2 linked regions of the Mytilus edulis genome follow. The protein of the gene in region 1 interacts with the protein of each later gene in a biochemical or structural test. Links are inferred from orthologs where the notes say so. Each region holds a gene or a part of one and is shown on either strand. Other genes may lie near its edges. The genes, in order: elongation factor-like GTPase 1 and ribosome maturation protein SBDS-like.

Evidence for each region.
Region 2: the proteins of elongation factor-like GTPase 1 (region 1) and ribosome maturation protein SBDS-like interact in a biophysical measurement, tested with the Homo sapiens proteins (2 studies listed by BioGRID and IntAct, with this or other methods). The link is inferred for Mytilus edulis from reciprocal best matches to the Homo sapiens genes EFL1 and SBDS.

The regions. Positions count from the first base shown.
Region 1 is NC_092347.1:10,356,463-10,360,400, forward strand, and holds the start of elongation factor-like GTPase 1, read left to right. Parts: upstream 1-1,448; 5' UTR 1,449-1,753; intron 1,754-3,263; exon of another isoform or gene 3,264-3,938. UniProt on the Homo sapiens protein: GTPase involved in the biogenesis of the 60S ribosomal subunit and translational activation of ribosomes.
Region 2 is NC_092349.1:35,117,521-35,121,458, forward strand, and holds the start of ribosome maturation protein SBDS-like, read left to right. Parts: upstream 1-835; 5' UTR 836-983; coding exon 984-1,111; intron 1,112-3,153; coding exon 3,154-3,283; intron 3,284-3,938. Other genes in the region: clathrin heavy chain 1-like, read right to left, coding at 609-662. UniProt on the Homo sapiens protein: Required for the assembly of mature ribosomes and ribosome biogenesis.

The sequences.
Region 1 (3,938 bases):
ATACATGTTTAAAGATGAACGCAGTTGTCTGAGGAGATGACGCCCGTATGCATGAGAATTTGTGAACAAAAATTGTATGCATGATACAATCAAAAATAAAACAAAAAGATAATTCATCTTTCAAATAGTTCTCAGACAGAGTAAATTCTGACAACAAAATGACTGCACATTTATTAAAACTTCAGAATGAAGTTTTTTGTTTGTATTTAACGATATATTTTAAGACAAAGGTCCATTTTTGCCCGACTGACGATGTGAACTTTTGTCATCACTTTGTTTCCTTCATCGGTAAACTCTTCTTCAAAAATATTTTCGTCTGAAATTTCACAACGCGGATTGAAACCAAGGTTAAGCTGCTTCATCTTTATGATATCAGATATAAACTGTCTGATTTGCATCCAAATTATATTGAACAACTGATGGCCACTCTGGAAAACGCATACATCTAAGTGTTTTGGTTTTATGTCTTGTATATTTTAGAACATAGCGAAAATCCCTAACTGGGTAGGAATTTTCATCAAGACAAGTATTATGTACCTTGAACATTGAAAAAAAAATGTGTAGACCCATTTTGAGAAATTGCTTGATTTAGTTTTCTGAACTTTTTTGCAGTTCTTTAATTGCTACATCGGTATCTCGAAAGATATAGTAGCTAGTTTAAAAGTGTGAATTGCGAATTGCGAAAATCACCAGTTAAACAGGCTCTTTTTACCAGTACAATCATCGAAAGAAAAGGATCACCATAATCCGTTAAACTATAATTATCTTGAACATTATAGGAGTAAGATTAATGGTATACATTGCAAACATTCTCAGCATAACTTTTTACATATTTAATACCAATGAAATATCGATTTTAACTGTGTTTTAGTTTTGCATTTTTGTGTGAACGTTTCAAACTCTCGAATCTATAACAGAAAAGTTAAAGGTGTACAATAAAGGCAACAGTAGTATATCGGAATTCAAAATTCATAAATTGATTGAGAGAAAACAAATCCGCGTTACAAACTAAAACCACTCATATGGCAATGTTAAAAAAATTAACTACGTGACATAAAGCACAAACACACGTAAGAACACTCATTACAGAAACAGAAAACAGTCTCAATGTTATAAAATAACATAATAGTCGACACAACATGCAAACCGCAGAACAACCAATGCAAAATCTTCTATCAACGCCAGACACCACATGACGTCATAAACAGTAACGTAACGAACATGCAATCTCGAACTTTATACAACTATTTTCACAAAACCATTTCGAACAATTTTCATCACAGGGATCGTATTTTTTTGTTATACTAGTAGTTATTTAGACTAAAAACGATAAGAAATAACGCATTATCCAACGGGTAAAGATGAACATAACAAAAAATCAGTGTGTGCAATTTTAGGTAAGACTTTCATTTTGTTTTCACCATATGAGCATATTGTTTTAATCCACGTTTGATTCGTATAGACAACCAGCAAGTTGCACAATGAACTGAACAAATGCATTTGGACCAATTGTTTTTAAAAACACAGTAATTTTAATTTGCGCCTATTTAAAAGGAGACACCAAAGGAAATGTCTTAAAATAAGCTGTTTCCGTCTAAGAAATCTGGTAGAGTTTCCCCTGTGTAAGTCAGTGAGTACATACTCATTTCTCATACGAAACTGAAAGTAACATAAAGACATAACTCATCTCATGATTTAGTGGTCTCAACGGGGTTTTTTTTTCGGATACAATCAGCGACATTCAACTGCTATGGTATGTATTTAGTTGGTATTAAGACTAATAGCATGCGCGTATGTTCGTCTCAAAGTTTTTATGGGTGTTGGCGTTTGTTTTTGTTGCACTTCGGTGATCCTGTTGTTCCTTTGTTTTCCTCTTATAGTTGGTGGGTTTCTCTCGGGTTTTTTTTCGTAGTTCATTCCTATTGTATCAATTTCTAAGATACTATAATCAATGGGTCAGCCACATAACATATAAAATGATTATGATTTGTTCATGGCTGGCAAGAAAGTTTCATTTGACCTTGAATTTGTTTTCTCTGATCACCGATGTGTAAAATGATGTCTGTAGTGCGACATTTGCCATAAAGAAACTTCATCATCATCAGTTAAGAAATCGGTACAATCTTTGTAGAATGTTATCCAATGTACATTCAATTCTCTAACCTCCAATATTGATCACACCATATGAGGATTTTAGTCATACATTTTTCGAAAAAAATATAGTAAAAATAAAAACTCTGAGGAAAATTCTAAACGGAAAGTCCCTACTCAAATGGCAAAGTTCACATATATAGTTTGGTATCCAGCACATAGATACAAAATAACTTTTTTTTACTTGTGTGCAATTTGTAATTATCATGTATGGCCTTTTCATATAGGTTAATATGCTTGGTTTTTTTATTGTGTGTGTAGTGGACAACTAGTAACTAGAATCCAAGCAGTCATCAATGTCATGAATTATATCAGCTGAAACTGAGACCCATCTATAAGGTTTTTCTGAGTTCATTGCTCAATGCAATGGCAAAAGGTAAACTTTATTGAGTATGCATAATGATTTTAAGGCCCATGTACATGTTGGTTTGCCACAATTCGCTGAAATTGACCTAATGTGCATTGTAGGTTTGTTCAAAGAAAGGTTTCATCATAATGTCCATTTCTCAGATACTATTATTAGTAGGCTAGCAATGTTTCTGACATGGTTCATTTGACCTTGATGGCTTGACCTCCATTGATCAACGGTTTTTTTATAATTGTGTAGGGTTTAGTTCATTTAATATAAGCAAAAGGTTAGCTATATTAAGTATTGCAATATCTTCTGAATTGTTGACATCTCTCTTCAGCTCTTGATTCTCTGAAACCCTGAACAAATTGAATGAGTACATGTCTGTTTGACAAGGTTCATCTGATTATGGCCATGGTTTCATAGTCCATTGGTCATCCTATTGTTAATAGTATATGAGAAACAGACCAAGCTATAGAAAGTAAACACTGCCCAATAAACTGCTGATGAATTGATATCCTTGTCTTGTGGTGCAGATGAGACAACAATTACTAGCAACTAGGATCAACTAGGCAGAGCTAAGGTCTAGATGTAAATGTCACTGACTTTCTGCATTAGTTATCCCACATAAATGGGTTCAAGCAGCTGTTTAAAGGGTGATTATTCTAAAAATATAATTTCAAAATGGGAGTTTCCTACAATATACAGATGTTCTATGTAAAAACTAGAAAGTTCATTGATCTTAAAGGAACAAAAACAGCAGTGCATTTTTTTAAGAGTTTAATATCTACATATGATATATATACTGACATTTTATTTGTAAAGGATCATAAAATCAATAGGTTGTAAAAATACATAGGTGTTAATTAAAATTAATCTAGACAGATTGTTAATAAAAAAAATATACAAATGCTTTATCTTGTAAAATTATCACAAAAATAATATATAAATATTATCTAAAAATAATATAGCGAATGACTTAGAAAAAGCAGCTTGTATGTAAAAAAATGCAGCAATAATCATTTTGAAATTCAGGAATGTTTTTGTAATAATCTTAAAATATATCACTATCTCGAATTGATGTCATCTTTTTTGCTAAATGCAACAACTTGAACATGAGGAATGTTTATAAGATCAACAAACCACAAAAATAAACTTTTTCACAGCAGAACTTAGCAGGTGAAGATGTGGTATTAAATGCATCATGTTAAATGACTTATTAAACTCTTTTTGTTTCTTAAAAAAAAACTTATAATGAAAAGATATCATAGCACTTAAATACTTATGAGCTTAAATGAAATTGGTGATACTTTAAAATTCTAACATTTTATACTCATAGAAAATTTTATATTCTTTAATTTTCAATTCAAGTTATCAGCATCAATTATTTGTAAAAAATGGTTTAATGATTATCCCAGTGATAAATTTCTGAGATAAT
Region 2 (3,938 bases), on another chromosome or scaffold:
TCAGTTATAAAAAAGACCTAAACCTGTAATTCTTTAAACATTAAAGCACCCTTAACATGCAAAACATGTTTAATGAGGGTTAATGTACAAATGATGTAGTATTGGGGATACCTTTATAACTATAAATCGGTTAACATTCTTGCAAATTATTGATTACAGTACTAGTTATTGTTTGTGCATGACGATAAAATGACACTCTCTTTAAAATTAAAAAAACAACAAATTTTGACAAATCATGTTATTTTTTTGAAGAATAAACGTAACATCAATTATTTGAGACCTCTGAAGAATCACGATAAGGACATTTTGACGAATCATAGTTCAATTTTAACCATTTTAACACTTAATAGGACTGTTATCGCCTGATGGTAATGGGCATTCTTACCCTCTTCAGACTTCAAATCAAAATATTCTTATTCTAATGACTGAACAAATGTGTGTTATAATTGTTTTAAAAATGTTAAATGATTTTGAGCATGCATGCCAGTTCACCCGCACTTGTTTCCAGTCATTGGTTAAGGCTCCCTCCTTCTATCTTCTCATGAAACAAGTGCCTGTGAAATATACAAGTGTAGTGACTGTAAACTGTACCTAAAAATAATTTATACCTGTATCAACTCATGAATAGATACTGGAGGTGTATTGTTGTTGTTGTTTGTCATTGTCAATCCACCATTATCGAAAAAATATAAACAAGATCCTTAACGAAATATGTGTTACATGTATCTCCTACATAGTTACATCTTTATCCTCAGCAACTTTTAATCCCTGATTCATCAACTGTCAATCATTTTCATTTGCGCACCTGCAGAGGAACTCTTTTGCGTTGAAATCACAAACGGTACAAAAAACAATAACTTCCGGTATTGCTGACAAGCATGTAAATGCTCATATTTGGCAATTTTTGGAAAAAGTTTAGTTCTTCGACGTGTCTTGACAGTTGCAATTAAAATCTTTGATCAGTCAAATTTCTAGATTGGAGAATGGCTGTTTTTCAGCCGACAGGACAGAAAAGATTGACCAATGTTGCAGTGGTGCGGATGAAAAAGGGAGGAAAAAGATTTGAAATAGCATGTTATCCAAACAAAGTATTGTCATGGAGAAATAAAGTGTAAGGCTTAATTTTGAATAGTCATTTGATAGAAATCTGTGATTGATTTTAATTACTTATAAAAAATTACAACCCCCCCCCCCCCCTTTTTATACTTCAGCTACCCATCCATGTCCAGTGCTCAATATTTAAACATGAATCCATGATAACTTTCCCAACTATCAAAAGCCCCAGTCCAATTTGCCCAAAATTTTTACCAGCTCGCCCCTCTTTCTAATAACCATACTAACTCGCCCCTCTCTCATGAAGAACTATAGTCCGAGATTATTTTGGGTGGGCAAATATCCACTTTTTCATATGGGACGAGCCCTGACGTCCCACGGCCCCAGCTTGTCTGGCAAAACAGCGGTTGGACGTCAGAGTAATCTCGGACTAATGAAGAACATGTACAAACCAATTCGCCCCACGTATGAATGTAGTAATGCCCTTTGACGAGGGTCTAATTGGGGTCTAAGAGTGACGTGGGATTACTGAATTTTTGTAAGCATGACATGGGAAAGTCAAATTATTGTGCCGTGAAAAAAAGTCTAGTGGGATATGGGAAATCACAAAACAAATAAAAATTTCTTACGTACATACTGTAGTGTAAGCGGGATATGGAAATCTTACAAAACAGTAAGCGGGATCAGGGATCAGAACCCCCCAATGAGACCCACTTTGATGTCAGGCGTCAAATGATCATTATCGGCTACTGTTCAGTCAGGGGACTTACTGAAATAAGTAGCAAATTCGAGGTTTTGTCACAAATTGGGATTTTGTAGTTTTTTCAAAATTTTAAACATATAGGTTTAAATAACATCTTTTAATTAGTAAAATTAAAAAATATGAACTTTTTGCTTCTTTTAAGTAGCAAGGTTTATGCCTTTGATGCTATCATTTACCTGAAAATTCTATTTTAGTTAAAAAATGCTATAATAATGGCTTTACATAATGAACTGATACTTTCTTAAAAGATTTTTCACAGCAGTGGGAGTATTTTTCCTGTGAAGTTCAAGGTTTCATCTTTCAGATTATGTAATAAAATTCTACTGTTCGCGATAAAAATTTCACTGTTCGGGGGTGTTGAAATTAGTGGGGAATATTAAAAGAATGATACTTAAAGAAGTGATTTTTGGGAAGGAAATTGAAGTCTGCTACTTAAACAAGTGATTTTTATGTCATTATCCTAGATTCAGTACAAGGTCATCACCTGAAATGACCTGGTCATCCTAGACAACACAGATGTTGGTTCTGATAAGTTTAGAAACATATTAAATTAGCCCCTGGATCATTAGTATTCTATATTTAAAGCAACACTAATATTAAATCACTTCTTCTAGTGATTAATTTGTACTACTTTTAAAAATAGGTGATTATTAAAGAAAGACAACTCTAACTTCCAACCTTTATGGAAATAATGTTACTTGAATCAGTGATTTAGAAAATCACTTGTTTAAGTAAGTCCCCTGACTGCTGTTTGCGTCATATATTGGTTAAAATTTTATTGTGATTAGTCAAAATATTTTTATCATGATTCATCAGAGGTCTCAAATATTGATATAAATATTGTTACTGTCATTTTTGGTGGATTTTTTATTGTTTATAAGAAAGTGTACATTTACATGAGCATGATGAGGCATAAAAAATTAACATGATTAACGTTAACGTTCTTCAGTGAAATTTTTTACTGTAATCAACCTGAAGGTACATTGTACCTCCATCATTTTTTGTCCATGAATACCCTCACTTATGAAATATAGTTAAACTCCAATTATTTTAGGCCTACACAAATGTATCAGCTGGCCCCAATACTGAAAAGTAGTTGAATTCTGATGAATGAACATGATGAAGGTCTGCCAACTGGCCCCATTTGAAAATATCTATATGCATCTCAAGTATATAAACATGGCTTGTATAAGTATTACCCCTAACTGTCAGATGTGGTTGTAATTCACACATGGCAATGCATATTTTTTTTGCCTACTTAGAAATATGCAATTAAAAATAATAAATATATCATCACCAAAATATATATATACATAATACATATATTTCAATTTCAGTGAAACAGACATTGATGAAGTTTTACAGACCCATACAGTGTTCACTAATGTTTCTAAAGGAGAAGTTGCTAAGTCTGATATACTGAAGAAAGCTTTCAGTAATGATAACCAACCAGAAATATGCCTACAGGTACTTATTGTAGATATAGCCAATTTCCAATACACCTTTCTTATTAACCTTCATCAGAAATGCTTAAACAAAAAAAAAACATAATATTTAAAAGCAGAGACTAAACAGGAATTATTTGTACCTCTTAGACATTATGTTATGCTCTAGGTCATTTGTAGGTCAAAAGTTATAGTAAGTTCAAATTGTTATGAACATGTATACTTAATTTCAAAAGATGTGACCATGACTGCATTGTAAACTATCTTTAACCAAAACTTGACCTTTCAATGCAATGAACTAATACATCATTATTACATTTCTTGTTTGGTGAACTGCAAAATTTAGAAAAATCCCTGATTTTTCTTTTGCTGAAATAATGTGCTACCTCAAATAAGCTTCAAATTATAAACACTGAAATACAATTGGAATGACATATTTGGAATACATTTGTAGTTTGGACATGGGGAATATATATGACAAAGAGACAACAACCTGACAAAAGCGCAGAAAACAGCTAAAGGCCACCAATGGGTTTTTAAGCAGTGAGAAAATCCCTCACCCAGAGCTGGGTTTCAGCAGTCCCAAAATAAAAATGTGAACTAGTTCAGTGAAAAAAAAGGATGTCATATTAAAATTCCACAACATGTAAATGAACTAAAATAAAAAAAATCACAAA